Drosophila melanogaster: one gene and its partner. The protein of the gene in region 1 interacts with the protein of each later gene in a pairwise test. Each region holds a gene or a part of one and is shown on either strand. Other genes may lie near its edges.

Evidence for each region.
Region 2: the proteins of EMC8-9 (region 1) and PVRAP interact in a two-hybrid assay, tested with the Drosophila melanogaster proteins (one large-scale study listed by BioGRID).

The regions. Positions count from the first base shown.
Region 1 is NT_033778.4:22,869,521-22,885,993, reverse strand, and holds EMC8-9 (ER membrane protein complex subunit 8/9), read left to right. Parts: upstream 1-3,303; 5' UTR 3,304-3,394; coding exon 3,395-3,592; intron 3,593-4,073; coding exon 4,074-4,487; 3' UTR 4,488-4,672; downstream 4,673-16,473. Other genes in the region: YME1L (YME1 like ATPase), read left to right, coding at 52-78, 183-580, 638-697, 751-940, 994-1,086, 1,192-1,274, 1,330-1,646, 1,703-2,093 and 1 more; PIP5K59B (phosphatidylinositol 4-phosphate 5-kinase 59B), read right to left, coding at 6,555-7,654, 7,752-7,838, 8,190-8,252, 8,648-8,735, 8,787-8,919, 8,988-9,080, 9,147-9,644, 9,707-9,849 and 4 more; CG13532 (uncharacterized protein), read right to left, coding at 12,087-12,166, 12,358-12,539, 12,618-12,726, 13,602-13,764, 13,859-14,052, 14,135-14,198; fd59A (forkhead domain 59A), read right to left, coding at 15,802-16,473. UniProt on the Drosophila melanogaster protein: Part of the endoplasmic reticulum membrane protein complex (EMC) that enables the energy-independent insertion into endoplasmic reticulum membranes of newly synthesized multi-pass membrane proteins like rhodopsins.
Region 2 is NT_037436.4:5,990,822-6,008,596, reverse strand, and holds the start of PVRAP (PVR adaptor protein), read right to left. Parts: upstream 11,390-17,775; 5' UTR 10,944-11,389; intron 1-10,943.

The DNA of each region.
Region 1 (16,473 bases):
CCGCGATCCTGAGCCTGCCCTTGTAATTTATTGAAATTTGTAGTTTTGGCAATGTTTTCCACCACCACACACTCCGTGGTAAGTGCTGCCCGATGACAATACATTCATTCGCCCACCTGACTGCTCCATTTCTACCACCCAACACTTGGAATCGGGGAACTGCGTGTGATGTGATGTGACAGCCCTACCTGTACCTAGGCAACTTCAGCAGAAAGCCGCACTACTACTCCGTTAATCGAACCAAGCTGCACGGGAGCGCGGGAGCTGCCCGGTTGTCCAAGTCCACGTCCACGTCCAGCCGGAGTCATGACCTAGTGCTCGACCTGCGGAACCTGCTGAGCCGTTCGAGCGCCAGTATACAGGGCATGGTGGAGAGGGCGGCTCGACTGAATGGCATTCTCGACCGGCGGCTGGTCGATGATGTGCTGGCCAAGGTGACGAGCATGCTGCCCTCCATGCGCGATGTCCGAGTCACGTTGGAGGAGTCGGCCACACAGATCGGTCGTGTCCAGCTGCAAAATTATCAGTTCGAAGTTTCGCTAACCGGTGCAGCAGGTTCCGTGCCCACAGGCGCCAATGTGTACGTATTGCAAATTATCCTTTCGAGGCTCCGCTTAATCCTGGTTTATGTTTTCAGCAAGGTGATTCCAACTATTACACCAGGTCTTCTTCGTCCGCTCTTCTCACAACAACAGCTGTAATTATACGGAAAGTATCTACGAACTATATCTCAAATTTAGCTCTTTATAGAAATCAGATACGTGGCTTTAAGACGGATCGTTCCATTGAGGCGGAACAAAAGCGCAATCCCACAATGACCTCCCGACTAAAGAATGCTCTGGCCAACTCGCCCCAGCGTCTGGATGGGGACACACCCCTTCAGGCTGAAAAACTGAGACGGCTGCTGGCCAAATCCGAAGAGCATGGATTTAATAAAGCCGTAGGACGACAGGGTCTCTCAATTGTTAACCGTACTAATGTTTTGTATTCCAGGAGAGCCTGAAAATTGCCTTTGCCGAGGGCTACTTGGCCGCCGCTAACTCGGAGGACTCTCCAAAATCAGGAAAAACTATGAAATATCTGAAGGTACGAGTTTAAATTCATTCAAAGTGTACCATGATTACTTTGAAAACCACAGAAGGCCTTGGTCTTCTTTAGTGTTATAAATAAATTCTAGTAATTGTCACGCAGACTTTGCAGACTATCGTCGTTATCGTCGTGTTCTTGGGCATTTTCCTGAGCTTCTTTACAACCTCCAATGGATCCGTATTTCGGTGAGCCTCCACGTTATTAGTTTTGCTTTACCCATCTGATATGCCTTTCTTTCAGCAGCATACAACTGGGCAACCAGGTTGAAGTGGACCCTGAGGAGATCAACGTCACTTTTGAGGATGTCAAGGGTTGCGACGAAGCCAAGCAGGAGCTCAAGGAGGTCGTTGAATTCCTGAAGAGTCCGGAAAAGTTCTCAAATTTGGGCGGAAAGCTTCCAAAGGGAGTGCTCCTGGTTGGCCCGCCGGGTACTGGCAAAACACTGCTGGCCCGTGCCGTCGCCGGTGAAGCCAAAGTTCCTTTCTTCCATGCTGCCGGACCGGAGTTCGACGAGGTGCTCGTAGGCCAAGGAGCCAGACGAGTGCGTGATCTGTTCAGTAAGTAGATTTCAATTATCCAAAGTGCTCAACTAAACAAGAACATCATCTTGCAGAGGCAGCAAAGGCCCGTGCCCCTTGTGTTATCTTCATTGACGAAATCGACTCGGTGGGCGCCAAGCGAACCAACTCTGTGCTGCATCCTTACGCCAATCAGACCATCAATCAGCTGCTCTCCGAGATGGATGGCTTCCATCAGAACGCTGGCGTCATTGTTTTGGGAGCCACCAATCGTCGCGACGATTTGGATCAGGCTCTGCTGCGTCCCGGCCGATTTGATGTAGAAGTCATGGTGTCGACGCCCGATTTCACTGGACGTAAGGAGATATTGTCTCTGTATCTGACGAAGATTTTGCACGATGAAATAGACTTGGACATGCTGGCGCGCGGCACCTCTGGTTTTACTGGAGCGGATCTGGAAAACATGATTAACCAAGCGGCGTTAAGGTAAGGAATAACTTGTGTTGTATTATTCAATCACAATTTTGAAGAGCGGTACTAATAATTCTAACATTTTGGCAGAGCTGCCATCGATGGAGCCGAAACGGTCAGCATGAAGCATTTGGAAACGGCACGAGACAAAGTACTTATGGGACCCGAGCGCAAGGCTCGTCTACCGGACGAGGAGGCCAACACCATAACCGCTTACCACGAGGGCGGCCACGCGATTGTGGCCTTCTACACCAAGGAGTCGCATCCGCTGCACAAGGTGACCATCATGCCCCGCGGACCCTCCCTTGGACACACCGCCTACATACCGGAGAAGGAGCGTTACCATGTCACAAAGGCACAGCTGCTGGCCATGATGGACACCATGATGGGCGGTCGTGCTGCTGAGGAACTGGTCTTCGGCACGGACAAGATTACGTCGGGAGCCAGCAGTGATCTCAAGCAGGCAACCTCGATCGCGACGCATATGGTCAGGGACTGGGGCATGTCGGACAAGGTCGGTCTTCGCACCATCGAGGCGTCAAAGGGTCTGGGCACCGGTGACACCCTTGGTCCCAACACCATTGAAGCCGTGGACGCGGAGATCAAGCGCATCCTCAGCGACAGCTACGAGCGGGCGAAGGCTATCCTGCGAAAACACACCAGGGAGCACAAAGCGCTTGCGGAGGCGCTTCTCAAGTACGAGACTCTTGACGCCGACGACATCAAGGCAATACTGAATGAAAGCCAGACGTAGTTCCCCCATCGGTGTGGTTTGATGGTGTTCAAGGATCCAATTGGAAGGCCGGGTTGGTCTGCCACCGGACATTCAGCTGAACTGCTAAATATTTTTAGTTACAATATACATATATAAAAAACCGGAGAAAAAAACCAAGCAAGAGCGAGACGCAGACGGACAGTTAAGAAATAAAATGTTACACATATTCAGTTATGTTTTCCATCATTCACGTTAGAATTAAATATTAGTTTGAGTAATAAATTAATTTGAAGTGGAATCCACATATTGTTTGCGCGCCCATATCGATGTGACCAGACTACTGCAACCTATGTTAGAAACCATTTTCTAGAACTTAAGTTATAAATATATTTTCAATGTTAAAGACATAATTAACAAATATAGTTTTGATCACATTTTTTGTGGAATCCATTCCATGCTCATCCATTTTAGTATTTTTCATTGTATATTTGACGTTTGCGGTATATTTGAACAGCTGCGTCGCGGTCACACTTTCTAGCTGTCGAATTTCCAATTCATGTTTTATTTTTTGCCGAATAAATTGAGATAATATTCTGAGAAAATGTGCGACTACAAGGTCTCGGAGCGGGCGTACGCCAAGTTGATATTCCACGCGGCCAAGTATCCACACCAGGCGGTCAACGGACTCTTGCTGGCCGAGAAGACATCGAAGGGCTCCCAAGTGGAAATCGTGGATGCGATTCCGCTTTTCCACCAGTGCCTGTATGTCACCCCCATGGCGGAGGTGGCCCTCATGCTGGTAATTACCAATTGCCCTTCCTAAACTCACATCACGAGGGGCTCGGTGCATTTGTGTCCGGACAGCAATGTGGTGCGCCCCATAATGGAACTATTATGGCTTCAATTTGTATCTAGATCCTCGCACCCTGGCCAAACACTCCGCTATCCAAAAGATATATAACTATTCTAACTTATTGCGGCTGCATAGTTATCCAGTGTTGTGCTTAGAACAGAAAGGTTTATGTTCCAAGCGATCTTTATTTAGTAAAATGTACCTTGTACCCCACGATGGTATTTTAATATTAGCATATCAAATTCAAAAACTAGTGTCACACCACTTTTACCCTGTTAGAAGTTTATTACCCAAATTAAACTAGCAGTCTTAAAGCATTGAAGTTGTGAAGACTGAATTAAATTTAAAAGCCGATAAGGTTGTACCATTGTTTAAATTAAAACATTTTATAAAATAACGATAATAATACATTACCTTACACTTTCAGATCGATGCCCACGCCGAACGGGAAGGATTAGTAATCGCAGGCTACTACGCAGCACCGGAGAACTTCTACGACAACCAGGTCGACAAGACCCCAGCCGCCAAGATAGCTGACAAGATCCAGGAGAACTTCAAGAACGCCTGCTTTGTGGTGGTGGACAACAAACTGATGACGCTGCAGCACGACCGAGCCGCCATCCAGGTATTCAACTGTCCCGGAGACTCTGGAGCAAGGTGGTCAAAGGCCAAGTTTACGCTCTCACAGGCGTCCGATACATTGGAAGGCGTGTCGCTGCTGCTGAAGCGCGGAGCCATGCGGGATTTGGTTGACTTTGACAACCATCTAGATAATCCGGACAAAAACTGGACCAACGACTTCCTGAATCAGCCGCTCAACGATCTGCAGAAACTGTACTAGTCGTCCGTTTCAAACGTACGTTTTTTTTTTAGTCTAGCAAAATCGCATTCGAGGGAACATGCCGGAATTTCAACCTTGCAATTTAATTTATTGTAATTACATTTGGATTTCAGTAATCTTTAGAATAATGCATATAAGTTAAATAACATTCAACTAATTAATAAATAATCAATTCTTTCATCATGTTTTGAGTCAAATGTTGTCTGCAGTCCGAGTCCGTCTGTTGGTGCACCTATTGTAATATCCTTTTTAAGTCCGGTCCGGTCCGGTTCTGTTCTGTTTATTGTGTTGAGTAAACCTAAGCGCGTTACAATTATCGTTAATAAATACAGATGAATAATATGTATATAATTTTGCTTTTGGTTTGTCTGGCTTGTAAATTGAAATATTTTACAATAATATTGTAATATCGCGATTGCTGATTATACATAGGTATACATAATACGTACTTATGTGGATATATCGGAGATCGAAAGTATCGCAAAAACGTTTATTTATATAATTTCAGTGTATTGTATATTTTCATATTATCTGATCGAACGCATAACGAACTCTTTACACCGTACACTAAACGTATAGGGGACCGGGACTACGAATCACTGATCACGGATCTCTGATCACCAACGGGATGCCATCCTGAGCACCTTACTCGTATTTGATTTGCCAGTTATATGCTATATGCTTCTGTAGTTCTGTGTATAAGGAGTATGCTTTGGGCTTGTATATAATATCTTTTGCTTGATTGAGTTATGTCTCTTGTTGGTTATTTTTCACCCAGTGTCCGCTGGAAGGGATGGGCAGGTGTGGGTGTGGCTGTGGTCGTGGTCGTGGGCATGACATGGGGGAATCTGTTCTACGTGGGGCGCCTTTTGATTATATCCTAGCTATACAAGAGCGCCTGAACACGCAAGCATAATCAGTATGTAAGAGTATGAGGCATATTTCGCTCGGACTCTTTCTCAGTCCACATCGTGATATATCTGGGTTGGTGTGTCTTGTGTTCCGTCACCACATGCTATGTTAGTTGATCTATAAGAATGCAATAGAGAAGTCATGTATCAGTGGGATGCTGTGGGGGAATGGCTAGGGAAGAACACCCAAACGAAAGATGCACTGCAATTTGGAAAACTCTAGTAGTGTACGATTCTACATGGACGTGTGCGAGTCTAACTCTGTGTGTGATGGGGGTGGAGCTGTCTAGGTGTGGAGGTGTCGTGGGTGCAGCGGTACGGGACGTATCTATGTGTGCTGGGGATCGTGTCTAGAGTCGGTCTCCTCTGATATTTACCATTCCCGCGGACAGAGAGTTGATGGCCTCTTCCACCGTCGGCTTGTGTCGATCGATTTTAGATGAGTTTATGGGCGAGAAGTTGTCTACGATTGCAAGCGTGAACGAATACACATATACAGATAGATATAGAAACACAAAAAGCGATTTCAAAGCAAATCTCAAGTGCCAATTACCGAGATCACCACTCGAACTGGAGTCCGTAAAACTTGGTGTGCCCTCTGTCCATGTGGGAGTGGAGCCCTCACCTGAAGCGGGCGGGGTCCAGGCCAATCCGCCGCGGGATCCGTACTGGCTGCTCGACGACGTGTCCACCGCCAGTAATGTATCCAGATGGACTTCCGAAACGCTAGTTAAACAATAAATCAATTTGTTACAAATGGGTATTTCCACTCGACGGCGGGATAGCTTAGATGGCTAACATACATAAGCATTAATACCTCACAATGTCCTCCTTGTAGGAGCCTCGATAGGCGGGTCCAATGTTCATCTTGCGATCCAGATAGTAGGACTGCTGATGCTGCTGCGACTGCTGGTGATGGTGGTGATGATGATGAGACCGGCGACCTATCGACGAGCTGCTGTTCTTGTTCGAGCTGTCCTCGGAGATGTCGTCAAAGGCGGGGGGAGGAGTCGAGCTGCATGAGGGCGTTGTGCCTAGCAATACAATGAGCAGAGCAAAATATACAACGGAATGAGTGGCAGAAGTAGACAGTAGTAATAAAAGGTAGCTGGGTAATGGTGTAGTGTGGCTGGGTAAGCGAGGTGCAAGCGAGTAGCTAATCCCGTCCCTGTCCGCGTCCAGTCGATCCCTGAGTGCCGTCGCTCTCGGGTATCGTGGAGGGCGCTGCCTTGGGCGCTCGTCTCTTGCCCCGTCTGATCTGCTGTCCAGGAGGACTCCTCGCAGGCTCTACGACCGGGTCGGGAAGCGTAAGCTTGGGTAGAGGTCTTCTAGGACGCTGTGTCGCCTCCAGTTCTCGTTTGACCTCCAAAAAAGCACTGACCGACTGCAGGAGATTATCCTCCTCCGGCTGGTTCTCGCAATCCTCGCCACCGAGCGCCAAATCCACGTAGTGAAAGTAACGCTTCCGCCTCTGATGTCGCTGCAGCTTCTCTTGAATCCCTCGCCTAGGAGAATGCTGGCTGTGAATACTGCCCGAGGATCGGGAACGTCCCGTACGATAGCTTTCCGCTCTGATCGGCGGAAAGCTCCGAACTATGGAGCCCACCGATGACCGATCACTGCGCGCCACAAAGCTGTTCTTGCGCTGAAAGATGTCCACGTGGTTGAGGAGTCTTGGCTGCTGGCGCCGGAAGCTACTTTCTGATCGAGCCGTGGAGTAGGCGGAGTGCAGGGAATCCCGGCGCCGCAGCGAAGAACTTCTCAGTAGAGTAACCGTTGGGTCTGCCAGAGGAGCAGGCGGTGCATATGGACCATATGGACCACTGTCCGGACCATCGAAGAGATCATGCAGCTCCAACCAATCCTGGACATTGCTAGGCGAACGGCGATCCCCGAATCGCGGAATGCCCTCGTTCGCTGGCACCTGAAGGGTGTGGGTATGTGCTGGTGCCGGGTTGGGATTAGTGGTGTGCGGTTCTGTACCTGGAGTCGTCCGATCCTGGGCATCCTTGCGCCGTGGCGAGCCGCGTGGCGGTACTGGCGGTGGCACTCGCGTCTTCAGATTACTGGCCGCCGGCGTACGCTGCTTGACGGGCGGTGGTGCCCGTTCACTGGCGCCACTGGTGGTTGCTGGACCTAGGGCAGTTGCTCCTCTTTCGGCTCCACCTGCCGCTCCCGCTGGCGTGGGCTCGGTGGTGGGCGGCTTGGCTGGCTGGTGAATCTTGCCACTGCTGTGCGAGTGCGAGGCGTGAACCGCTGAGCAAATTATAATAGGTTTAGGAATCGAAAGAGTGTTTTAGAACAAGTTGTAGTCGTGGTTAGTATACATTAATTTTTAGAGTGATTAACTTACGCCTGGAGGCCACCTCGTTGTCGCTGTCAATGGAGCGCTGAATAGCCTTGGAAAGGCTTTTTCTCTTCGAAGGCGAATGCTTAAGCGCTGCAAAAATGATGGAAATGCAGTAATTAGTTGCGGAACGCATAAATTTGTTTCGATCAAAAGAAAAAGTTCAAAAAGCATAGCACTTCCAAAGCAACTATGCGAAGCCAAGAGCAATACGGTTGCCAGGATGCCAAGGATGCCAAGGATGCCGAGGATGCCAGGGATGTGAGATCAACTAACGTGAGATTGAGAGGCATGCTTTGGCGTCCGTTTCGAAATCATATAAAACCAAGTGGTGAATACAAAACATCGTTAATAAACACTATAAAATACTCGTTAAGAAAGGTGTAAGTAAAGAAAGTGAGAGATAATCAAAAGTTAAAGGACATCGACCATTCGTTTGTTTACCTATATAGCTGGTCACCAAGGTACGAAATTTTCTGTGATTCCCCTTGATCTCTGGGAGATCCACTATATGCGTACGTAAGAGTGGGTGATTGCATTCGAGACATGGCCATAAAAGAAAGCAGAGAACAGAGCGGTTTGTTGGTGGATATTGATTTGATGTAGAGATATGTATATAGGTATCTCTTCAAATCGGCGTCTACTCAGGCCAAGTGTACCATATTGCATTTTTGCTGCACATCGATCGATTAACCAACATTAGCAAGCTACGAGTGTCTAAATGGTGTTCGGTGTGTTCGAATGTAAATGGTGTGAAAGTGTCTATGGCTAACTATCTACTCAAAAATGTCGGAAACCGGAACCGGAACCGGAACTGAGTGCTTGCATAACTCGGCCAACTGCACACAAAAATGCCTTACAGTACGAGTACTTAGCCCGACTTCCACGACCGGTCCACTTACGGGAGGGTATCTTGCGGAACACGGTCTTGGCCATAAAGTTTTGGAATCTTTGAGCATAGAACGAGGGCCGGCAGACCGATACGGTTTCCTGCAAGAGTATATATCAGTGGCAAATTCTTGCTAGAATCATCAGTCTTACCCCATCGTGTATGATGCTTTTGAATGTGTGCTCCAGCTTCTTCTTCAGCCTGTAGGATTGCAGGATGTCGATAATGCCGATGTAGAGCAGCAGGCGCTCGCCCTTCTCACTCCTTGCTGGAATGCCACCAGGTCTGGAATTGGGTTAGGTCGTCGCATGTAAGCTCGGAAAAATATATGGAACTGAAACTGAGGCACTCACGGCACATCCTCCTCGTCGTCGATGGGTTCACTCTCCGCCTGAATGCTCTCCATGGCCGTGGAGTGGGCAACCAGCCGCTGGCGATTCACTGACCTGTATGCCGCACTGGGTTAGATCTTTAGATTGCCCGAAGGCTTGGCAGCAAGCTGAGATACTCACTTATTCCTGCTGATGCCTGTGGCCGCATCGCCGTCCAGCGGATCGTCTGCATCCACATCGGAGTCCTCGGCCAGCGGAGCCCTAAGCGGTTTTCTCTGCTCACTCTGCTTCTCCTTTAGCGCCACGTCCAGATTGTGGACGCCGAGGAGCAGCGAGTAGTCCATGATTTTGAAGGACTCCAGCACCGTGCAGTCGCGCTGAATGGTCTTGATCAGCGCGGCGTAGGTCTCGGCCTCCAGGAATATGCCGTTGGGATGCTGCTCCATGAAGTCGAGGTCCTTGTACGTGGGCGACTTCTTGGCACGCTCCGCCTTGTTGGCCTTGCGCTTGAACGTGGAGCCCTTGAGGTCGTACTTGAGGTGCATCTTTACGGACGAGGGCAGCAGATTGTTCATGACCACCAGGCGAATATTTTTGGCATTGCTCGTCTGCAGGCAGTACAATCCGAAGAACTTTGGCAATAGCGTGCGCGGATTTTGATTTAGATTCATATAGTAACTGAAATGCAGATAACACTTTTTAAATAGGTCTTCTTGCAAAGATTTGTTCGGGTTACCCACCCAGGCAGTAGTTTCTGTAAGAATTCACCCTCCTTGTGTTGCACCGTCTTTATGATGAACTCGTCGTCGGTCGTCAGGTAGAATATAGAGCCGGAAGCACCAGGATTGGACAGTTCCCGCAGCGGGGACGTGCACATGGACATCTGAAAGTATGGACCATCAGTATCTGCCGACTTGGAACGGTCGCCCACTCACCATAAAATCATCTGGTTGGATGCCAAACAGATCCCGAAAGTAGCGAAACGCTATGGGCGCATAGATCTTGTATCTGAACTCGCTGTAATGGTGGGCAGGTGTAAGGCTAGAACCCTCTGGTGGAAAGGTGATGCTCTCGATTTCCCAGAAGTCCATCATAAGTAGATCACGCTTGGGCTTCGAGGCCAGACTGCCGACCTGCGAAGGATATTTCAAGATTACTAAGTAGATGGAAAAAGCCAAGATATACAAGATATGTCATACGAATCAAGCTTGGGTCAATCTTGTAACCCCGCCCTGAGTTCATTGAAATGTTTGGAAATAGTGCTAGTAAAACATGCAAGCTCCAGTACTTAAGGCTATGAATGTTTCTTACAGTGTGCTGGATTCCCAGTTGGATGGAGCCCATGATCTGCGACGTCTGGATCTTTTTGTACGTAATCTCGCCGCCCTCGCCGACGCGTCTGTGGCCAATCTTGCGCTCCTTGTCCGCCTTGCTGGACGCTCGGTTCGGTCGGTTGCCCAGCTGGACGGATGAATGGTTGGTTAGTTGGTTGGTTGGGAGTGAAAGTAATTGACCCGATTAGTTTGGATGGGAGTGACCTCGAGGTCAAGGCGGATGTACTTACGTCGGGCGATGAGTTTCCCACATGGTCGGTGGAGGCTAAAGAAAGACGGACAGAGTTCATTATTAGGAGTCATGTTTAATTCAGGCCATGACGCAGTCGCCTGGTCAATCACCGCAACTTGAACTTGGACAGGACACTCTCCCTCCAGTCGCGTGTGACTTTCTTTTGTTATCAATCCCAAAATATAAATAGGAGCCGATGGAAGTCCGTTTGACAAGTGCGGGGGTGGATTCACACTCACGCTTCCTCCCTTCGCGCGAGACACATGCGCCAGGGGCATTTCCATTCGACAGTCATTGATTTTTTTCACGCTGCGAAAAGTGACGGGGTCTGTGGATAATAGTTACCATTGCTGGGCTCGGCCAGTTTGGCCTGAGACGCCGAGGAGCTGTCCATGTCGATGGTGTTGATGGTGTCGCCATCGCCGGAGGCCATCGTGCAGCTCCTGCTCTGCTATCGTATTCTCTTCTCTTCTCTGCACTCTTCCCACGTCTAGGACTTCACTAGGACATGCTGGCTGGCTGGGATTGTGGACTTGGGCTATTCGAGGGCTGCTTTCACGTTTTCCGATCCTCGGCGATTATCCAATCGAGTGGGCTAACTGGGTGGCAGGAACCTTGGCTCTCGTCTGGCGCTGGCGTCAACGTTTCTGCTGTCTACGGTGATGGTGATGTTGATGGCTCCTCTGCCACTGCTGTCATTTTCACTGCATACTCATAGGCACACTGGAAGGCTGGAAGGTCGGCAGGGCTGGAAGGGTGTGCGCAGGAACAGGCACGCAGGGTTGCATTCACAGTCAGACGGTGAAGCGGAGCATCCGCACTGTTGTAAAATCCGCAAATAGCAATGTTTTTAAAGCTTATAAGCCTTTGACGCGTGGAAATATAATATACAAACATAAAAATAGTAAATAATAATTTATGTTAATAAATTTTATAACACCCTGTGGCCCTGTAACGCCCACATGATTAAAACGAATTATTAAAAACAAACTTCATTTAAACCAATCCATAGATGCCATAAACAAAAGTAATTTGGATTTAATTAGTCATGCTGAGACTTTTTTTTATTATATGTGTGACTTGAGTCCAATCTACAGCGTAATTTTACAATAAAAATACAATTTTAAAATTTGTTTAGTTTTTTAGCAAAGAAAAACGACGACGAAGGCGGTTGGTTTAATGCACTTTTAATGTTTCTTTTCGTATTTTTTTTATTAGCGTTTCTGTACTCAATTAGACCTATACATCGTATATAACTATCATATATATTTTATTTATGTGGTAAATATATGAATACAAGAATTTCTTGTTATGCTTTACTGTTGTCCTTTTTGTCTTTATGGGTTCGTTTGCTTACGCATTGTGGTGTTTGTTTTTGTTTTGTGTTTCGTTATCCTTACAAATACATGCATGTACAAAATAAGCGCTTTTTTTTAAAAATACCGCAAAAAATTACGTTTATCCGTTAAAAGTCTATTAAAAATTAAGGAGTATCAAAGTTCCTAGTCCAAACATAAAAACGAATGTAGCCTACATAAAAAGGACACTACCAAACTAACTGCTTAGAGCTAAGGATGCGATGGACATGACTACGGCGACCGTTGTCCACTTGCGTTGTATAGTTGAGGCCTTATCTGTAAAGAAGAAAATATTAGATTATGTATTCAATTTTGTTAACTTTAAAACTAGGTTTTCTATAAGGATGGAGAAACGGACAGATGTTAAAAATTTCAAACAAATCTAGCTTACTACTTTAATGCTATGATGCATGAATGAATAACTTGTCCTTATAAGCAAAGTGTTATCCAGGCTTACCTGTACTTACCATAGAAAATAGTCTCCCGGCGCTTGGTGTAGTTGGTGCCAACTAGGATAAACGCACAGGTGATTGGGGTGGGGGACTCGAGTTGATCTCTAGGAATGCGGGTGCGAACGGTCATGCTGTAGAGGCCACTGGGGTCCTGGTCCAACTGCGTCAGTACCGAGTCCAGTATGTGGGTGTCAAACCTGCGGAGGGAACGATTAGGTCCTTGCGCTATTGGATTTCACCGGCCTTAAATTGCCGGGGACAGTGGATCCTCTTACATGACAGACAGCATGGGTTGCGGGAAGACGTGCTGGACCGCACACATGATGTCCACGTCCATACGCGAACCGCTCATCCGCGCTTCCAGCATGAAATCCGATTCAGGAACTGTCGCAATTGGAGCAGATTGGACGAAGGGTGTGTGGTGGAGCCGGCGGACAGGAGCCGAAAGACAAAAAGTCGTGAGAATTAATCAAGTGTCAAACTAAACAACGAAACAAAACAATACCAAGCAAAACAGTGTCCCAAAGAAAAGCACAAAACAGCACAAACAAGCCGTGGTTCCGGACACCGCAGAGACTGCCACATGACACGCATGCAAATATGAAAGCGAATCACACGTGCCACACAGACGGCGCCCAGCACCTGCACTAGCAAAAAAAAGTACTGACCCTAGCATTTAAAAGGGGAACTCGATTGGGAACGCCCTGACTAAGCCAATTACAGTTGTCCTACAGCACTGAAAACAACTTCAGATACTAACTAAGATTAAAATATTCAAACCGTAGTTATGGATATATATATATATAGCTAACAAAGTTGCTTTAAAACAAAATAGAAAGTAATATCATGAAATATAATAGAATATAAGTTCCTTAAAAAGGTACGTTGAAAATTTAAATTAGAATTGCCCAGGCACAAGATGATATGCGAGAGAATGAATGCTAATAGTGGGACAGAATAAAGGCCAGCGCATTAGAGTAAGGCTTTCTCGGCTTTTGTTAATGGCTTTTAAGTACATAAATCATAATTTTTGTCTCCCTGTGTAAACACCGACACGAGAACACCTATGCAAACACCCTGGTGGCGGGGGCCAAGTCAAGATGGGGGCGGGTGCAGGTTACCCGGCAGAACCAGAGGCAGAACCACCACCTTAGACCTTTCGACCCCCACCACCACCTGCTACCCATTCCCATTCCCATCGCCACCGCACATCTTTCACCGCCGATCCTTTTTCTTTTGGCCGTGGTCGTGACACCCACCGATTATTTGCAGGCGGGCACTCCGCTTATCCGTGGACTCGAAGGTCTGCACTGCACAGGTGTACTCCCCCGTCATGTTCCAGTCGGGATTCTTTATCGATATAACACCGGGACTGCCCTCCATAGTGAATATTTTGGTGTCTATCTTCGACTTCATGAAGCCCTACAGGCGCAAGAACAAGAACAAATCGAAGACAAAGACAGAGTTCGATTAATCTTAATTAATTCGGTGCGACCAAAGACCCCGAGTGACTCACCATGGCGAACCCCTTGACCGATGGTATCCACTGGTAGATGGAGTGGTTATTGAACAGCCATTTGAGGACGAATCCTTGCTCCCGCGGCCCGATCTCCACCTCGCAGTCGAGCACCAGAGGATCGGGTTCGTGGTCTCGGAACAGCGTGTAGGTGCGTGGCACCCGCAGGTTGGTGATGCGCACCGAGTGAGTGACTATGCGGCATGGGGGCGGAGTAGGAGGAGTACAGGATTAGTTTGGAGGAACCCAAAAAGGATGTATGCGAGAACTGCTCACCCGAGAGTAACGCGAGCACGGCCAGCAGCGTGGCGCGTAGGCCTCGTCCTCGCCAGCCCGCCATGACAGCCGACTAGTTTGCCTCAGCGTCGCTGGGCACTCCAGATCCTGTCGCTCGTGATCCTCCCGTTCCGCGAGGACGCGCCGTCGTTGTGCGTGGCAATGAATACTTCTGTGGTGGTTGGACGTTTCTACTTATCGCGGTGCTGTCTGTTTTCGGCTTGCGCTTTTATGTGGATACATGGGGGCCTTTGGTTGCACTCATTATCACCAATCTCATCACAGAAGCAGAATGGCAGGGGGATGCTTTTTTCTGGGGATACGGGCACTGACTGGCACAAACTTTTCTCGGCCCAACGAGCTCAGCACCTCGGACGCAGCAGCTCCTCGCAGGACATCTCCCACTGCAAGTCGCAACTATGGCAATCTCCTTTTATGGCCCGGGCCATTTAAAGTTTTGCCCACACAGGACAGGATACTTTTTGTTAGCGAAAAATCGACTTTTTGCAGCCCACATACACGAACATCTACGGCTGCGATAGTGTGTGCGTGCGGAATGGAGTCCGCGGGGGCGAACTGTGCCAAAAGTGGAGTTCGTACTCTCGGCGTAGCGCGTGAGTTCTGCTGGCGGATACCAATAGTTGGTGTTGGTATCTTCGGCGGCACACTGTTGTCCCGCTGCCAGGCGCAGCTTTTCATGTTTTAACACTGGAAGCCAACGGGACGCTCGTGGGAGAGCGGAGCTTTCGTTTGGTAGCGCCGAACTCCACGGCGTTCTATGGCGGCACAACTACGTCCTGCGCCAAATCAGCTGAGCGATGGTCACTGCGCAGGCGCTAAAGCTGAACTGATTTCCAGGCAGGGGTGCCACACCTGGACAGGTTTGCTGGGCGGTAAATTCAAATAACTCGGGGTGTTTTATTGCAAACAAAAGGTAACAAAACGTCGAAAAGAGGGATCCCTTTAAGGATATTATTACAAGGAAGAGAGTGGCCACATATAATAATATAATTATAAAAATAATACAATATTACAGGTATCAATAGGATTAAAAATTAATATTTAGTATACTACAAACATATTAGTAACATGCTGTAGTAGCTGTAGTAACAACACGTATATCGGTACCTACCAGTCAAACATGTATCCGTGTAAACTATTATTATGTTGTTGTTTATTCAATTTTCAATAACATCAGCAAAAATCTTAGTCTAATTTATAGTTAATAGTGTTCCTCTTGCTTGGATGTGTTACAGTTACACGCAGACGCACACGCACACACATACACATGATTAGTACTTGCATGGTAGATATAGGTCTAGAACCTGAAATCCCGACTCCAGACCCCAAGAATTCGTGTTAAAAGTATACTATAGACGTGCGATGCTTCAGATTTACATAGATATTACGCGCAGATATATGTTTAGTACGTAAGTGGACTGGCAACTATAGCGTTGACTTCGATTTGGTCGCATTTAAAAACTCGTGTGCTGGCTCCTACATCCTACGGATACACCTACTGATCACTACTTGCTGCTCGGATTGGATTCCTGGGGATTGCTGGTGGTGGTGTTAGTGGGCTGTTAAAACGTGCTTAGATCGAAACTGAAATCACCGTTCAATGGACTGTACACAAGCCAATTGGTTCAAGCGAGTGGGAATCCCGCCTAGTCGCTGGTCTCCTCCTGGCTGCCACCGCGATGCAGGTGGTGGCCAATCAGCGTCTCGATGCGAAAGTCCTTGGCGCTGCTCTGTTTGCTGGTCCGCAGAACCAGGGGCTCGCTATCGAAGCGTCTCCTTGGACTTGAATCGGACGCCTCGGCAGAAGCCTCAAAGATCAACGCTTCCGGCGGCGCATCCAGGCGATTTGTACAGGCGCTGTCCACCGAGTCCGAGATATGTGAGTCCTCCTGCTCATTGCCGCTCTCCACGTCGATCTTGTCCTCGCATGAGTCGTCATCTCCCTCGGCTTCCGCATCGGCCTCTGTGTCCGCATCGTCATTGTACACATTGAGATCCATGTAACCACCGCCGGCGGACAGTCGTTCTGCGTAATCCCTGTGGCCGGGAATGCCCGCAGCACTGGCCACAGTCGCCACATCGAAGGCGTATGGGCTTTTGTACTTGGAGCCACGGCTGCTCTCGGATCCCCCGCCCACTCCTCCGCCGGAGCCACTGCTGTGCGGTAGTGCATCCAGGACATCCGCTCCTCGACCGCGATTCATGAAGGGCAGCCGGTCGAACTTGTCCCCCGACTGACTTCCCTGGTAGAAGGATGCTTCGGCATTCGCAAAGAAGTTAAACTTCTTGTCCGCTCGCAGCGCTGAGTCAAAGACATC
Region 2 (17,775 bases), on another chromosome or scaffold:
TACATCATCAACCCCAACTAACCAAACGAATGCGTTTGATTATTAACCAACAAAAAGCCGGGTGGTGGTAAGAGTGCAAATCCTGGCCCAAAACGAAGGAAAAGAAATTGAAATTCATGCGCATTCGGAGGGTTCTTCCTATGCCTTTGTTAAGGCCACGGGGCTTACAAGATGGAATATCTTGTTGGGTTGGGCTTGTGGTCCCCATTGCCTTCTATTGACGAAATTATCATTTCTGTTGCTTCAATAAAACGACAGGCCCGAAACTAATATGGTTTCATCTTTACCCCCCCAAAAGAAGCAGACTTAGGCATGAAATTGAAAATGTAACAAAGGGAAAAGTGAGAGAAAAATGAGAAGGGAGGAATATGTTAGGCTGATTGGATGGTGAAACCTCCGATGATGATGATGAGGTGACATTGGGAGGAAAATCGCATAGTCTGCAAATGAATTTAAGCAATACTTTTATGCCAGCCTACCGATTTATCGTGGATTTCATTTCACTTTGCACAAGCAAACACCTTCAACTTTCACTCTTGGCAATCGAATGGCAATTATGCCCGCCCATAGTTCAAATATTTGCCAGTATTTCACCATCGGAAACCGGTGCCTGATGCTGACACCGAGTCCGATGCCCAAACCCCGAACCGATTATGCAAATTTGTCCGGGTTAACGATTTCATTAAATGCCAGAACCGGCCACGCCTTATCACCCAACTGCCCCTGCGGTCTGGCCAACTAATTTCAATATCATCCACTGCCTCCAGGAGCTTGCATTAATTCTCACATTTAGCCCACAAGCCGCAGGAGGCGTGTCCTTGCTGATAAACAGGCACATCGGAGCTTCCGTTTAGTCTGCCAACTCTGGACTCATAACAAATCCCCCGGCCTCGTCCTGCAGCACACAGGATGTCCTGGATAGAAGGTAAACCGGGCGGACACATGGTCGCAAAACTGAGCGACAACCAAGCATCCAAGGGGTCAATTTGGAGCGTATCAAAAAGGGACAACAGTTTTATAAACTAGAGTTTTGCAAGCTTAGTCCAAGGAAATCCCAAAGGGCGGGGTAGGCGACTAAGGAACTCTGTCTGGCCAGCATATTTATAAACACATTAAAAACGCTTCACTGGAAAGCCCTGGCCAGGATATGGGAACTTGATGAGTAATCAGTTGAGAGTGCTGGGAAACGATGATAACGAAATTATATACACAATTAAAAATAGTAGAAACATATAGTCAAGCAAATCAAAAACAATTAAATTATAAAGATTTGAACTGAATTTCAATTCAATTAGTTAGGAGATAGCATTATTTAAGGACATTTTCGCTCAGTGTGCAACTAAAACTTCCTGTCCCCTTCCCCCGAAAATTAACAGAAAACAAGTCAAAGTCAATGTTTGTATATGTGATGTGCTGGTTGTGGGCGAAATCCCACAGCATGTTGAAAAATGTCAGTTGCACATGAGACTGGCAGGGACCTCAAACCTCAAGAACCTCAGCAGTCAAGCCACTGGAGTGGAGTGTAGGCAAAGGACCTCCGGCTGGGGTGCCCATCCGAGGAGCCAGTGATGAGGAATTGCTGCTACTTGCAGCTGACGGTTGTTAAGCTTGTCAACATGAAGCGACAGTAAGTCGCAATGGGACCAGGAGGAGGATAAAGCCAGGTCCTGGCGTAACAATTGAGGCTACCCCATATGCAGTTTATCCCCCAAGTCCTGACATACCTATTCCCCAAAGCTCCACTACTTTTCCAGGTCAAGCCACATTTGACCCCGTTTTTATCTGAAAGTCAACAGTTTAAATGCCATTTAACATTTTATGGCGCGGGGGAGAGCATAGCGATTTGTAACCTTCATGTTAATACTGCAAGCCAAGTTATTTATGTAAATTACTGGCAACTGCAATGCCAACTGCTCCAAAGGATGCTGGCCAAGCTAAGGACTCCTTAACTCCCAGCGTTCATGTTTTATAATTAAGTCAGTAATTTAAGAGTGTCGGGCAAGGGAAACTTTTTTCGCTTGCAGCTTTACTCGACTGCATTCCTTGTGGCTTGCAATTTGGTTGGAAAACTTTTCGCCGCCCTTCCCTCCCTCGCATCTAAATATGGAGAAAAACCGGGACAGAGAAAAGCCGTGCGAAAAAGCGGAAATGTTAACAACTACTTTGACATTTGCCATGGCTGCGGGAGCGACTTTTCCGGGGTGTTTGTTTGCAAGTTGAAATTACTTAAGTGCCAGCGCGACGAGGCGTGTGAATGCTGCCGAATCGAGTGCTCAGTCTTCATTCTGCAGTCCAAAGTCACCAGTCCCGACTGAATAAATGAGTTAGAGAGTGACTGAAATGGCTGAAACGGAGCTTAACTTCGACCCTGGCTCATAAATTAATGTCATTGCATTAAAGCGTATTGGGGCATCTCAGTTGCAGTGCCAGACGCAGTCGGAGTGTTTTCCCGAATAAAAATGAAAATAAAAATTAAAACTGTGCTGCAGTGTCGAGAGTAACACAAGTTACACAGGCCCAGATGCAGCGAAGTGTGAAGGACAAAAGGCTACAATACGCAGAGTAAAACAGGCTAGGAGGATTTCGATGAGACTTCCACATATCCTGTTTTCGGGGATTTAAATAAGGTTTTGATTTTATTAAAATGATACGGATGCTAGAATTCAATCATATCTGTGATTATCCGAGTACTATCATCGTGTTTGATACAACGGATACTCCTGTGTTTCAAAAGAACTGAGCACGAAAAGGAAGCAGGCTTAAACTGCAGAAAAAAAGGGGTGATCCCCTAACGAACTACAAATACTCTTATGCTGTCTGGAGACCTTGAAAGAGTTTTATTTTCCGACGAAAAAGAAAATGTTTTTTCTGCCGGAAGTAGTTTCTGCAAGAAGTTGGCCGGAATGTCCTGCCATCTTGACTGCAAAGCGCTTGCCTAAAAAGGAAGCCATGTCAGACTACAACAATGTTAGTTAAATTTCGAAGCTACATTTGTTTTGTGCCAGCCTGAAAAATAAAATAGAGGTACTGACACAGTGAGAAAGGCGGCAAGAGTTGGCAACTCGTGTGCATGCATAGTGCATAAGTCAGTCAGTTGCCAGGGGCCAACATGGGAAGTCGGGGTATTTCGTAGTCCTGGCATGACTTTTAGACTTATTGTTCGTTGACTTTTTGGCAGCACTCGAGTTGCCTCTTTCATTTTCATGCTCGCACTTGAAAATGAATAGCCAAGCAAGCAAGTTCTGTTTTGCTCGGGATAGAAAAATATATTTCATAAACTGTTGCAAGTTATTAAAACGTCAGTCACACTGCTTTGCGTACCTGCTGCGAACTCTGTTTTGATTTTCTTTGTTGCAGCAGATTCATCTTAAGTTTATCTTCGGCCATTCCCTTTGGCCAGACTGCGACCAGACCATGGCTCGTAATATATCCTCAAGGTATGCATTAATTACAAGGATCGTAAAAGCCGGCAGTGGGAAACCTGCGCCTTGCAATGCCAGCAGACACGAACTAAAACCTCCAGAGATCCCGACTCTGTTTTACTTTGTGTTACTTTCTGCATTTTACGGCCAGACGGAGTTTGAGGTCCTTGAGTGTAGATATCTACATATATACACTCCCTGCTCGTTCCCTTTATGACATTCCATTGTTTCGGCTCTGTAATCAGGCGGCAAATTTCGAGTGCATAGTTTATATGCCTCCCCGCCGAAATATTTGTCTCCAGCTGCAAAGGGCTTTTCATAAATTGCTCCTTTAAAATCCCGCCAAAGGGAATGGGTGGCAAACAAATGACGAACTCATGTTGAAGGCTCATTTGTTTTATGACTGACGCTTAGGCAGGCAGCTGATGTCCCTATCTACTACTTTGCGTCCTTTCCTTTTCGCACTCCGGGTGTCCCAGTTATTTGACACGCTTTTTTGCAGTCCTAGCAGAAACGAAGACAGGCAGTTGCTCCTCAGCTGTCATTCATTACTGGGATGCAGGAGAACAGGGGGATTTATTGTATGAGCCCCACACAGCACACACTGGAATACTCATAAACAGTCAGGCATCCATATCATGAATTTTCACTTGCAATTTAAATAGTCGCACATCCCAAGATACCGTATTTTAGTAGTTATAAATACTCTTAAAATATTTCACGATATTTATGTATGATTTTTGTTTTCTTTAAACCCTATTATTACTATTTTAATATTACGTATTACAAGGAAATACACAGTCGCATGTGAGATGAGCAATCGAGTGGACGTGTTCACAGAAGTCGCGGATAAAACAAAAACGTAATTGTGATCCATCACAAACATTTGCGCAGATCGTGTGCTTATCTCACAAACAAAATCTATTTTTAGTCACTGCATAACGGTGACGGCTTCGGTTCGCGAAACTTATCAGCAACTAGCAATTTCTAAGCTGTGTTGTTTTTGCCCCTCGCCCTGCGCGCTGCGCAAGCGGGAGGTTGTTACAATTTACCTTACAAGTAAACCGGTAAATCTTATCGTGTTTAGTAAATATCAATTGCATTATACGGCATAAGTATAAAGACAATTGATATAATGGAGAATTCATTTGCTCAATCGCGACCTAGCAATGGGTGCGATAAATTTGAGAAAATGAGGAAAGTAGCAGGTGTTGAGCCAGGAGAATTACGCTCCCAACTCCGCGCCAGCTGTGCAGTTGTTTCCCCTAACCTGGAAGGTATGCCAACTCAATCTACGGTCTCCAGCTTAATGGTGACAATCAGCAGCAACACCAATGCAAGTGTTACCTGCACTATTTCTAACGTACAGGCCAACATGATCTGTACTCCTACATACACTGATTGCACAACCGTGACCACTAGCATTTGCCCAACTACGCCTTATGACAATGGACTCCCGACACCTCTGTCATCACTGCCCAATAAGCCATCTAAAGCGAAATGCCCCTTTCAAGCACATGATCGTACTGTCAACAGGAAACGAAAAGGCGTGTCTCAGCCCCCATTACCTATCCTCACCCCTTCTCCAAGCCGTAAAACTAAAAGGCAGGCCACTATGCCACTCAATGAGGAGGCCTCTACCTCCACTGCAGCAGCATTAAATAACAATCGCTTCGCGCTTTTGTCTGCTGAAGCGGAGAATATGGAGCAAGACGTGTCGGATGCTGATTCTGACATTGAAGACTCTGCTGCCCGAGATGGTGGTGGACAATCCGCTAAATATAGCAAACCCCCAGCCATATGCGTACCAAGTGTAAGTGATCCGGTCACCTTGGAACGGGCTCTTAATCTGAGTATTGGCTCCTCAAACTACTACATCCGCACCTCTAGATTTGGTGTATCCAGAATCTATACAGCCAACCCTGATGCTTTCCGCACCGCTGTAAAAGTACTAAATAAGTTAAATTGTCAATTCTGGCATCACCAACTTAAAGAAGAAAAACCCTACAGAGTAGTGCTTAAAGGAATCCATGCTAATGTTCCTAGTTCGCAGATAGAACAAGCATTTAGTGATCACGGCTATGAGGTCCTTAATATCTATTGCCCCAGAAAGTCTGACTGGAAGAACATTCAGGTAAACGAAGATGATAATGAAGCTACAAAAAACTTCAAAACTAGACAAAATTTGTTTTATATTAATCTTAAACAAGGCCCGAATGTTAAAGAGTCTCTTAAGATAACTCGACTTGGCAGATACAGAGTCACTGTTGAGCGCGCTACACGTAGAAAAGAACTGCTACAATGTCAAAGATGCCAAATTTTTGGACACTCTAAGAACTATTGCGCCCAGGATCCTATTTGTGGTAAATGTAGTGGTCCCCATATGACCGGGTCCGCTTTGTGCATAAGTGACGTATGTCTGTGTATAAATTGTGGTGGTGATCATGTCTCGACAGACAAAAGCTGCCCTGTCAGAGCAGAGAAAGCCAAGAAGCTAAAACCAAGGTCCAGGCTACCGATGACTAATAATATTGCCACACTCAAACCTCCACAACGTTCTTCAAGCGGTTACATACCAGCTGAGGCATTAAGAACCAACATCTCTTATGCTGATATTGCTCGACGCAACACGACTCAATCTAGGGCTCGTGCTACTGTGCAGGCTGAAGTTATACCAACGTCGGACAATAGCCTTAACAATAAATTTATGACGTTAGACAACTCCATTCGGGCCATCAATACGAGAATGGACGAACTATTTAAGCTTATACACGAAACTGTAGAGGCTAATAAAGCTTTCAGAGAACTGGTTCAGGTTCTAATTACACGTATTCCTAAATGACTCAACCAACCTTAAAAATCGGATTGTGATACGCTCGCGGATTAACAAGGGGCTCTGAGGAGCTTCGGATATTCCTCAGCGATCACGATATAGACGTAATGCTTACCACGGAAACACACATGCGAGTTGGTCAGCGCATCTATCTCCCAGGGTATCTTATATAAGACAAGCTCCAGAACATCGCCCAAAAATATATGGAAAGGCTTAATGTACACCCCAACAGCCTAGCAAGGAAGCTAGGAACTGCAGCTGTGGTCAATGCTGACCCTCGGACTAGAGTCAAAAGAAGACTCAAGCGACACCACCCTCATGACCTCCCTAACCTGGTTTTGACCTAGAAAGTCTTAGTTTTAAAATTCATTAGAATAATCAAATAAATAATAATTACTATGTTATATCAACTATTATAATTCTCCCTATCATTTTTAGGATTAAAAATCTGTTAGTCTTAAGTAACCAAGACACATTGTAAAATAAAATAATTTAAGCAGATCAAATTAAGTTGCCGCATGGGTAACAGTGCGTTGATCAAATAATAAAAACATCATAAATATCCCCAGCGTGGGCTATAAAAAAAAAAAAAAAAAAAAAAAAGGAAATACGACTTATTCCTGCGTGCATTTGTATGCAAATTATAATTGCCTACTTTTCGGTGCTGGCGAAATACGAAATCTTCAAAGGCAGCATTGCGGCTGCTTTATCAACTTTATTATGCCAGCGTCAAAATTAACAACAACAGCGTGGTTGAAACGATGGGGGAATGACCATAAAGCAGCCTCTCTTTTGGCCCTTAAGACAGGACTCAACTGCAGGCCGCGACCGTTTTACGACTCACACACACAAACACTCCTGAAAACAGTTTCAATGTCTGATGCTTCTCTTGCTATGTGTGTGAGTGTGTGTGTTGGTGTACGGTGTGCTCCTTATTTATCTCGCTTTTGTTTGGCCCCGTTCAACCAGCCGCTGCCCTCCCTTCCCACCACCGTCCTCGAAAAAGAGTGTCTTACTTTGCTCGGCTTTCTCGCTTTTTTCGTTGCTTTGGCAACTTCCAGGACGATTTTGTTTGCCTGCTTAGTGCGTACGTGTACGTAGTTGTGAGTGTGTCTGTGAGTGAGTGAGTCTGCATTCTGTGCTCGTGTGTGGGTGAATATCTCTGCGAAGTGCGTGTTCGCCAACACTCGTGGCTGAGCGCCTGTTCCGAAATATTCTCCGTGTGTGGGTGTATCGCACACAGACACAAGCCCACAGAAGCGATGTGCCGTGAATATGCATGTGTATGTGTGAGCGCCATGTTGCTGGCAACATTGAAATGGCAATTTTGGTGCCGAAATGTTGCCGAGCCGCTTGAAGTGCTGCCGAGTGTTTTGATAGCGGGCCAACTAAGCCCCAGAGATTTTACTCATATGCACACATCATCTCGGCAATTTTAAGCGGCTTACGACGACGATGATGCCGTCGCAGAATTTTCATTACTAAGCCAAAGGTGAATACCTCATACTCCGAATCATCCGCACAGAACGTTCGCCATTCTCCTCAAGTGCGCAGTCAACTTCAAAAGGCTGGCAAATTCTATGGGTTAGCGAAGGAGTCTCAAGGCAAACACAGATCAAATCTTATCGGGAATCATTTTATGAGCAAAATTAATACGCTTCAAGCCAACTGAAGCGGCTGAGCGACTGGCAAATTTGTAGACGTTTTGTTGTTGCCCAGGCAACTTGAACATCCCCATCCTCGACGAAAGGCAACAATATAATGAGCCAGAGCAGGTGGCAGGAGTGGTATCAAAAGATTGATACAAAAAGATATGCTTTGGCACTCGAAAAAATAAGTACTTTTAAGATAATATAAATATTTTATAACTACTTAATTGGAACCTTAGCATTGATGTTTTTCTTTCAATTCTTGAATGTTTATTTAGGAAATCATTTTTCTTTAAAATCCATATAATACATGAAGTTATGAATTTCTGTAAATATTTTCGCAGTGAAATAACGGGCTCACGGGCAACGACATCGTCATGGAAATTCTTCATTAACTCAACTCGGGCGCTGAGAGAAAAGAAGTTTATGTTATTAAGAACATGGAGGAGTGGGCGGAGAATGATGGCAATGGTTACTATCCGTGGCGGATGGGGGCGTGGCTAGGCTGTGAAGGAGGCAGCCGGAGCAGCAGCTGTTGTTGTAGTAAAATGTGTGTTTTACTTGACAAGAAAGAGATAACGGTAAATGAATATGCAGCAATTTGCACGCCCACATAATGAGTAGGGCGATGGTGGCGGAGAGAGGCATGGAGGGGGGAAGCGGTAAGGATACCGCCGGCGGGCAGAGACTGAAATAATAACAGCAGCAGAAAAGCAACAGCATCAGCCGCTAAACAAAAGTCGATAAACATAAACCAGGCAACGCAGACAAGCGCTGATAAGTGTGCTACACTTTCCACAGGAAACGGAAGGCGTGGGCTTGCATGTGTTTGCTTGTATTTGTGTGCGAGTGTGTGCGGGTGTGTGTGTGTGAGGCAAAAGTAAATTAAAACGATTTTAATTACGGTTGCCAAGACGATGAATGAAAATGTCAACGATGCCGGGCGACAGCAGGTGGGCGTGGCGTAGGCGTTCAAGGAGTGAAAGAGTGCGGAAAAATGAGACAACTCCTAAAAGCCTTTCGTTGTACCGCTTGCTGAGCAGCAGTGTGAATTATGGCACATGTACAAGGCGCTTATGCACCGAAAAAAACGAGGATCCTTTAATAAGTTTCAACAGTGATTTAAGCTACTACAAAATACTATTTTACAGTACACTTTAGGCCAACAAATACGTTTTGAATAAGAAGCCACAGGTTGACTTAATAACGAAATTTATTAAATGAAGTGCAAAACTTAAATTCATACATTTCCTGAATAAAAAAATTAAATCCCTTTTTTATAGTTTATCAAATCTGTATATGACAACTCTTTTTCATTCGTGTACGTATGTGCCAGTGAGTGGAATAAAAGCAGATTTTCATTTAGACTCTGTTTTGTTGTCTTTAGCTACTTGACAAGAGCCAGAAGCCAAAGTCACTGCCAAGAGCAACACCAGCAAACTTTAACAAATAAACGGGTTTTCAGGAAAAAGGGAGAAAAATGGGGAAAAATAGAAGTAGGAGCAGCAGTCGCTTCTAGCTCAAACAAACAAGCTCCATTTTTATGAGGCTCTTTTGTCTGAGGCTGCTATTCCGCCTTTTTTCCCCTAACTTTTTTTATACCTTATTAACGCTCGCTCACTCGCTTGTTGAAAATGAAAAGTTTTCGTTGCGGGCGTGAAATTTTTTTTTTCCCACAACCGAAAAAAACAAAGATGGAATGCTGAAAAGCCACCGAAAAAAAGGAGAGCAGAAACCATGGCTTGCTGATTAACTTGACACGGCCAAGAGCGGCGAGGGAAAAGTGTCGCGGAAAAGCGGTGGGTGGTGAGGTGAAAAATTCGCGGTTCGTATGCAGCTGACAGGCAGCACCTGTCGCCGCTGCGGAAGTGTCGACTGCGAATACGAATGCGACTGCGGCCAACAAACCGCCGCTTGACATTTCCTTGGCGACGCTTTTCAAGGAAAATGTTGCTGGCTTGGCGAGGGGTTCGGAAAACGTGGTGGGCGTGGGGCGGTGGAAGGACGCTGCGGTGGCCTTGTGTATCTTATTTTGTGACTGCATTTAAGTGCATTTTTATGCCACAGATTTAAGTGTAAGCCAGTGGATTGCCAAAGTTTGTCCAGGGGTTTATCTTCATTAATTTCCGCAGTGCTTTTTAATGCAGCAGAACTTCATATTAACCCCAAAAGTGTGCTGTGGCAAGTAATTCGACTTGGGCGCTTCTTTATAATCGTGCCATAAAATCGACAACAGTTTTTAACGGACGCGTTCTGATTGGATTCCTTCTTTTAAACTGCTAGCATTGCTTTAAGTTTTACCATATCCTAAAAAATCAGTATTTATAAAAGTAAAGATCATATTCTTATCAACGAAATCTCATTGCTGAATTCAGAGAAAACCAAAAGGTTTCTTTAATAAAAAAAGGTCTTTAAAAGCAGTCTTTCAAGAGCAGTACATTCCATTGAATTGGCATAGTTTTATATTACTTTATTCACACCGAAACGTTTTTCTCGGGCATGCTCGCGTGCATTTCAACGCCCCGAGGAATTTAAAGTTTTTCGGAAAAGCTGATACACTTCACTCCAAACATGTTGACAGCTTAACAGGAAGTCTGCCCCAAGAAGTACGGCGACACCCCGAAAAAAGTTGATTCCTATCCTTGGAGCCCGTTGCACCCCCATTTGCCGCTGATAACTTTAAGCCGAACGAGGCCAGAAAGTGTAGCAGCTTTCGTGGCAAAAGTTTGCAATGCATTTTGATGTGCAGCCAAAGTGCCAAAAGGTGGCAAAATGCAGAGGGGGGAAAACTCTCTGCGAATAATTATATAGAGAAGATGAAAGGACCGGAGGCAGCGAAGCGAAACAAGAGCCTATGCAATTCTTTCAAGTCAAGGCTACTGACCTTTTTAACACTGTTTGTCAAGGATGCAAAGGGCCGACTTTGATCCCAACAAAGGGATAAAATAAACCCAAATTGACCAACAAACAAGACTTGTATATCCAAAGGATATTTAGGATGTGGAGCCAATAATGAAATTTGTCGTGTGTCCCACTCACCTTAGTATCAATTTTTGGCGGCAATTTTCGTTATGTTCACGACCTTTATTTGCGTTTTCGTCTTATTGCCACAATAATCCAAAGGAAAACTGGCCAAAGTTTTCGCATAAAATTCAATTACGATTGTGAACTCATAAATCGCAACACTTGGCCGCGTTTTACGATTACGTCTTTTGATTTCGAGCACGGAAAGTGTGAAACTTTTTTGGTTAACGCGGCTACTTTGTTATCACTGTTATCGGGCCACGACTCTGGCAATAAAATTACCCCGTCGCGTCGTTAAAAGTTAAACGACCCTTTGTGCTAAACTGGGGGATTTGTTAAGTTTTTATGACTTTCGACGAATTTCGGACAATGTTGAAGTTTTGGGCATCTGCCAGTTGTATACGGTTAGGTGCCTTTTTGGGGCAACCTTTGCAGTTGAAAGCGCGCAAGGAACTGTTTATCCTGGCCCCATGTGCTGGCATTTTTGTGCTAAGCCCGAAACTTGGTATCCTGCCACGAAACTTGGCATCCACAACAGCGCATGCGCTGGATTTCCTCGGAATGTGGATGTCTGGAGTGGGACAGGACCTTTCCAGTCTGCATTCAACTGGTGGTTGGCTTGCCAATCGAATCCTCAAAGAACTGCCATATGTGCATGGTTGTCGTGACAACTTGATTTTCTCATAAGCTAACGGTTTCTCATTTCCTACTGCCATGAATTTGATAAGATTTTATTACGATTTTTGCCGGTGGCAACCTTTGATGCGCCCAAACATCCACTAGTTTGAAATCCGAAGCTGATCTAATTATGCGACCGTTTAGCAGTGCATACTTTTCAGAGACTTAAAAGAGGGCCGGTAAACATCTGAAAAGGAGAAAGGACTGTCGAATGACATTAGGGCAAATCCGCTTACAGATGCGGAGATGAGATGAAGATACGGAGGGTCGTCCATTGTTTATGCAAGCGCATTAAGCTGAGGCTTAGCTAAGGATACACTGACTACTCGGCATGGAGATGCAGATGGGCAGATGCGGATACTGAGATACTGAGAAACAGAGATACAGATACGGATTTAGATACAGTAGCCCAGCTCACACCCACAAGCAGCAGCGACATGTTGCGGTTTTGCGAGCAGTAGATTGACCTGGCCAAGAAGCCCAAACAAAACCGCATGTTGCAGGGCGTGGCGGCATCTTAAAGCAGTCCGAATCCAGCTGCAAAATTTGAAACTGAACACTCAAAACTCACAAATGAAGAACCTATGGATAAATCGAAAAGTCAGCGATGCGAAGTTGAACTCATTAACGGCAGTGAGTGGAAAGTCGTTGTCATGTAATCCAATGCCGTGTACCAAATTGGAATCTCGTATTTCTCATAGATACACGGCGATACGTGCACACGTATAAAAAGGACTAATAAAAGGAGGAAAAATCAACTAAGAAAAATGGAAACTCGCGTGGATATTTCGTGATTTTCCGTCTGTAAGCGCCGGCGTGCAATCTTCTTTTTATATGCCATCCATTTTATTGTTTATTTACAGCATTGTTTAGTAGCATATATCCGCGTGTATATATACATAGATACTAGTATATTCCCCAGTCAGCGTTGATTTAATGGCTGTAAATTGAAATGGAATACGCGAAAAATGGAGAAAAATGTTGGGACAGGTGAGCTGAGTTGATTTGGCAGAAATATATTTATTGAAAAAGTTGTCAGAAAAGAATTTAAAAGAATAAAACTTTGCGGATTGAAATTTGCATTTCACAGTTGTACGCCGGCTTACGTCAAACATTTTCTATCCTTTATGGATTTTATTATGTATTTTAAAAGCCTAAAAAGGCTTTTTTTCTTGCATATTTCACGAAGAAAAAGGGAAAACAGGTGGTTAAGAAAAGTTCCAAATTTATCTATCGGCTTTTATCCTTTGCCTAACCATTTAAAGGAAACCCAACTTCTGGTTGCCAATTTCTGTTTATCTTTCTTGTATCTTTTCCTCGTTTTGCTTACATTACGAGCGGAAATTTGATTTGTTTCTGATAAATGCCATTTATTTTACTTGTTTAAGTCCTCCCACTCGCTTGCCCCTAACTTTCCATGAAATTCAATTGCCAAATTGATTCAACTTTTTCCCCTCGCTGCAAAAAGCCATGGAGCTTCGCGTTGAGCCGCAGATAATTGAATGATTTGAATTTGTATATTGAATTTGGCTTTATACATAGCTGAACACGCCCATTTTTCATTTAACGCCCACCACCCGGCCTTTCATCATATTTGGCAGTTTGGCAGTGCGAAATTTTTGTTCATCGTGTTGCGTGGGATTTTTCTATTAAAATGGAAATTGTAGGCGAATTGGAAAATTGCTTATCAATTGACGGGGGGCATATGCTTCAAGGATCAAACGGAGGCTAAAATTGATTTCCCTAGCCGCCACCATTTTCCGATGACCCCGCGCACCCACGCCCCGTTTATGCTGCAATTAAGTATAAAATTAAGTTTTTCCCTTGCCAGCGAGCTTAATTGAGTTGTATGTGTGGATTTCATTCCCATGGAATTGGGGTGAATCCCTCTTGGAATTTAATTTAATCCACTGAAGCGTTACGCCGCCAGAAAATGCATGGCGAATTTTTTTCCGAATATTGCGCTGCCTGCCTTCTTTTAATTGTTTGTTACATGGGAATTAAAGACAACTGCCCGCATGATGATGTAACCATATCGATGGAGGGTGCACATATATGTATACATAATGATCTCCCCAAGCAGACGAAGTGTCTAAGAGCGCTCCTTTCTAGACAGACATGAAAAGGAAACCCTGGGCTGGCTAATGGCAAGGTGCTCTCGAGCTCCTTTGTTGCCAAAGAACAAAAAACACAACTATTACTTATTGGTTCGTGGAATGCAACTAGAACGGCATAGAAACCCTCTCTCAAGTGCCACTCCACATTTCGACCTTTGTTTCGCAATCGAGTTTCGATTCAAAAGCAATACAAACACGCACTGCGGGTGCCACTTCAACCGGTCGAAATGGGAATAGGAATGGAATTGGAAATGCTAGAATCGTTTGAGAAACTGCGTCACCATAAATTGTAATTACCCAGAATTCACGCGACCCACAGTCTCAGGAAGAGGAAAAAAATATAAAGTGTCAAGGGGCGTGTGCAGCGACACTTCGCCGACCCCTCCCCACATTATTTTTTTTGCCGCCCGCTGGTACCAGGTACCGCCCGCCGACTAACGGTCTATATCTATGTGCGTGACTAGCGGTGGACTACCGAGCGGCGATAGTTTATGGAACGTGCTGGACTTTGAATAGGTATGATATAGATAGATGTGATAAAGTGTAAGGATTAAGGCTAAAACACATATTTTGTTAAGCGTGATATAAAAAAAATAGCATATATATATTAATATTATATAAAATTCAACATTTTTAAAATTCCAGATCCTTGTTTCTTTTTTCTGCGTAGTAGCCATACCCCATCACTATCCCATCCCTAACCATCACATATGTGTCGCATAACCTAAAGACGTTTACAAATGAATTAGGCCAGTCCATTGCAAAGACGGCAGTTTAGAGCGCAGGCGCACAGCTTGAGGTCGTGGCAGAAACACAAAGCGAAGACTTCATGGCAGACACAGTGACGCAAACCGCATGCTGACTTTTTTCAATTCTCCACGGCTACCCCATACCCATTAAAATCGAATTCAAGCCGAAGGGAACTGCGACCCAGCAAAGGCATTCCTAATGCAAAACGTGTGGCGACGACACTTGCCCACGTTCGCATGTGTTTGTCAGCTGTCCGTCTTTGTGGCAAGAAAGAACGCATCTCCATAACATACAGCCCGCAAGAAATGGTTTTAAATTAATAGGAAAACACCATCGCTGACAGTAAGTCAGAAGTGTGACATACTTTTAATGTGATTACGAGTCAAAACTTGCGACGAATGCTGATGGGATTACACAGCCAGCGCCACCAAAAGCCAATTAGTTTTTCCCCCATGTGTGCAGCCCATCGATGATGGAATTACATTGTGTCAGAGAAGAGAAACAATCACAGAGTGCGGATTCTCGCTGCCATTGCCTTTTCCAAATGCAATCCCATAAACGACTGCCACTTTCAGTGCTCACACATTGTAAAATGCATTTAAATGCCACCTTTGTGCTTTTACCTTGGGGATAAACTCAGTTAGCAAAGTCCATATCAATAATTCCGAACTTGCGGCGAACGAACATAAAAGTCAAGAACTTAATTTCCAACTGCTGTCACTTTAAAAACACAATATTCGGTTTTATGACTTCTTCGTTTGGCAAAAGACCAGGAACAACTTTTCAATATCCGAGGCCATATCCGGTCGGGCTATAACCAACCACTCACACCGACAAACACAGATGGCGGTCGGCTGGCACTTTGTTGGCTTTGTGTAAAGTCGCAGCTTAAAACAAATAAAATGCGAATGAAAATTTATTTTATGCATGTTGATGCTGTCCTCGTCGCCGTCGAGTGCATTGTTTTTGCAGTGACAACAGTGAGACCAACGCATGCACACGCACAGCAGCAGCACAGTTTCACCTGCACACACAATGGTAATGTGTATGCAGCACCAATACGCATACACACACAGGCCACAAGGATTCTAAGAGGCACACGTGATGTTTGCCCGCCTGCAACTGCAACAAAAAGCGAGCTGCTGCCGCTCCAAACTGCTTAGCTCTTAAGGAAGTAGCTGCCACAGTGGCTTCGAAGTGGCCAAACCCAAGGCGATTTGGCTTAATACGCAGAAGGGCTCCGCCGAAAAGTAGTTAGTTAAATAGATTAGTTTAAGGCGAACACAAACAAACGAGTTGTCGATGAAAACAAAACCGCTTGCCTGCCATAATATTGATTTTCCGTTTAATATTTCCTAGAATCTGCATATGTAAAATAGTAACGTATTGAATTACAATTTCTTAAAACTACGCACAAAAACAAATGTGAAGTACATTTCATTGAAAAAGTTATCAATATTTTCAATACCGATCTTAAAGTATCTTTCAGTACTTCTACCACAGTGCCCATCTCGTATCTGAAGCTTATCAGGTATCCGTAAGATCTATTTGTGGTTTTCTTGCGTTTGGTTTGGTTTAGTTTCAGTTTCTGTTTGGTTTCGTGTGCCTGGGTTTGTTTATTTGTTAGCTTGGAGCATCACAGACGTAGACAGAGCCGTTGCTTTTCCTCGGCGTTTACATTTGCCCAAGTTGGGCAAATAAAGTCGTTAAGCGGAAGCTGGGAAAGATCAGAGGGGCGAGATAGAAGCGGCATGGCAACCAAGTAGCAACTTGCATTATCTCGATGGTCATGGCCATGTGATGTTCCCTCCTCGTTCTCCTGTCGCTTTTTCCCAGTTAATGCTGCCAATTCCGGTAGCAGCATACAACTGACATGATAAACAAGCTAAACATGCCAAAAGTGTCCTCGGCACTAGCCCAACTACTACGGCTGCACAGAGAAAAAAGGAAATTAAGTCATTCATTTTCTGATCCTAGGCCATTTTCACCTATATTTCGGATTTTTTCGGATTTACAAGCCTAGTTTTCTGTATATATGAGATTTATATACTTTCAAACACAAATAGATCATTCTAAGATTAATATATATTTTTCTCTCTATATGAAAATCCTGCCCGTTCCTTGTCCTTCGCCTGACAGCTCTTTTTTCCTGTCTGTCGGTGTTGTGCACATTTATCCTGTCCCTGCTAGTGACACCTTCTTTGTCCCCCCGCGTTTTGTCTGCATGTCACTCTTCATTCGCCGCCCCACCTCTTTCCACTTTCTCCACTCGCCTTTCTCTAATGCTCCCTTCCTCCCATATGGAATTCAAAGCAACTGCTTGCAGTTGCCGCCTCGATATATTCCACCCACACATTTGCTTAAAACGTGGAAATTGATTTTCTATTTTGTTGCTGGCGAGTTTTCCTTTCGGTTCGCTCGCCTTTTTTCCCTCAGCAGCGATTGTCAGTGTCAGCTACACGTGATTGAGTCTTATCTTTAGTTTTGTCACTTCAACGCTGGCAGCTACTTTAAATGTCAGCACTCGATGGAAAACCAGGAGCTGTGGAAACTCCCCCCAGTGTTCTGAGTATCTGGAGTCCATTTACCAACCAACACGTGCTGTTTTGGCGAATTTTACGTTCCCGTTGAGGAAAGAGGAGAGGTTCTATCCCTACTACTGGTGTGTCAAAAGGGCTTACAAGGCGCGTGTGCTGCAGTTGTGGATTCAAAAGGGTGAACAGATAGGGTCCCCTCTTTGTTAAGTGCAACACATGTTGGCACTTTGTTTTGGGACTTGCTTTAGAGCTTGTTTAAGCCATTCCGATAATTCTGAAAAGGAAGTGTCGCCGACAAAGACAGTGCATAAATTACCTGTAGAACTTCCGGTAAGAAGGTAATGAAATTATGATCAACAATGGGAAGTTTTAGTCAGGAGACATTTAATATTTACTAAACATTTACATTTACTAAATTGTAAGCTTTTTGAAGATATACGATAACAGTTGTTTTTAATTTTTCAGATTAAAGAAAGCTTGGCTTGTTTGACATCAAATTATTTTACACCATTTTCATAAAGTGTCCCAATATTACCTTGCTCACACAACTTTGTTGATTGAATCTCCCTCTGAAAAAATCACTTTCCAGCAATTTGGCCAAAAATATTTGCTTACACATCAACAGGAAGTGCTTTCTCTTCCTTCCTGCCGAACGAAACCACGGAATTTTACTTCGGCCACCACAAAGTTTGTTTTAAGCCCGTAAAAACCTGGCCAAGGACCCCAAGGCAAATAAGGCAACGACATCTTATAGAAGTTTGGGGC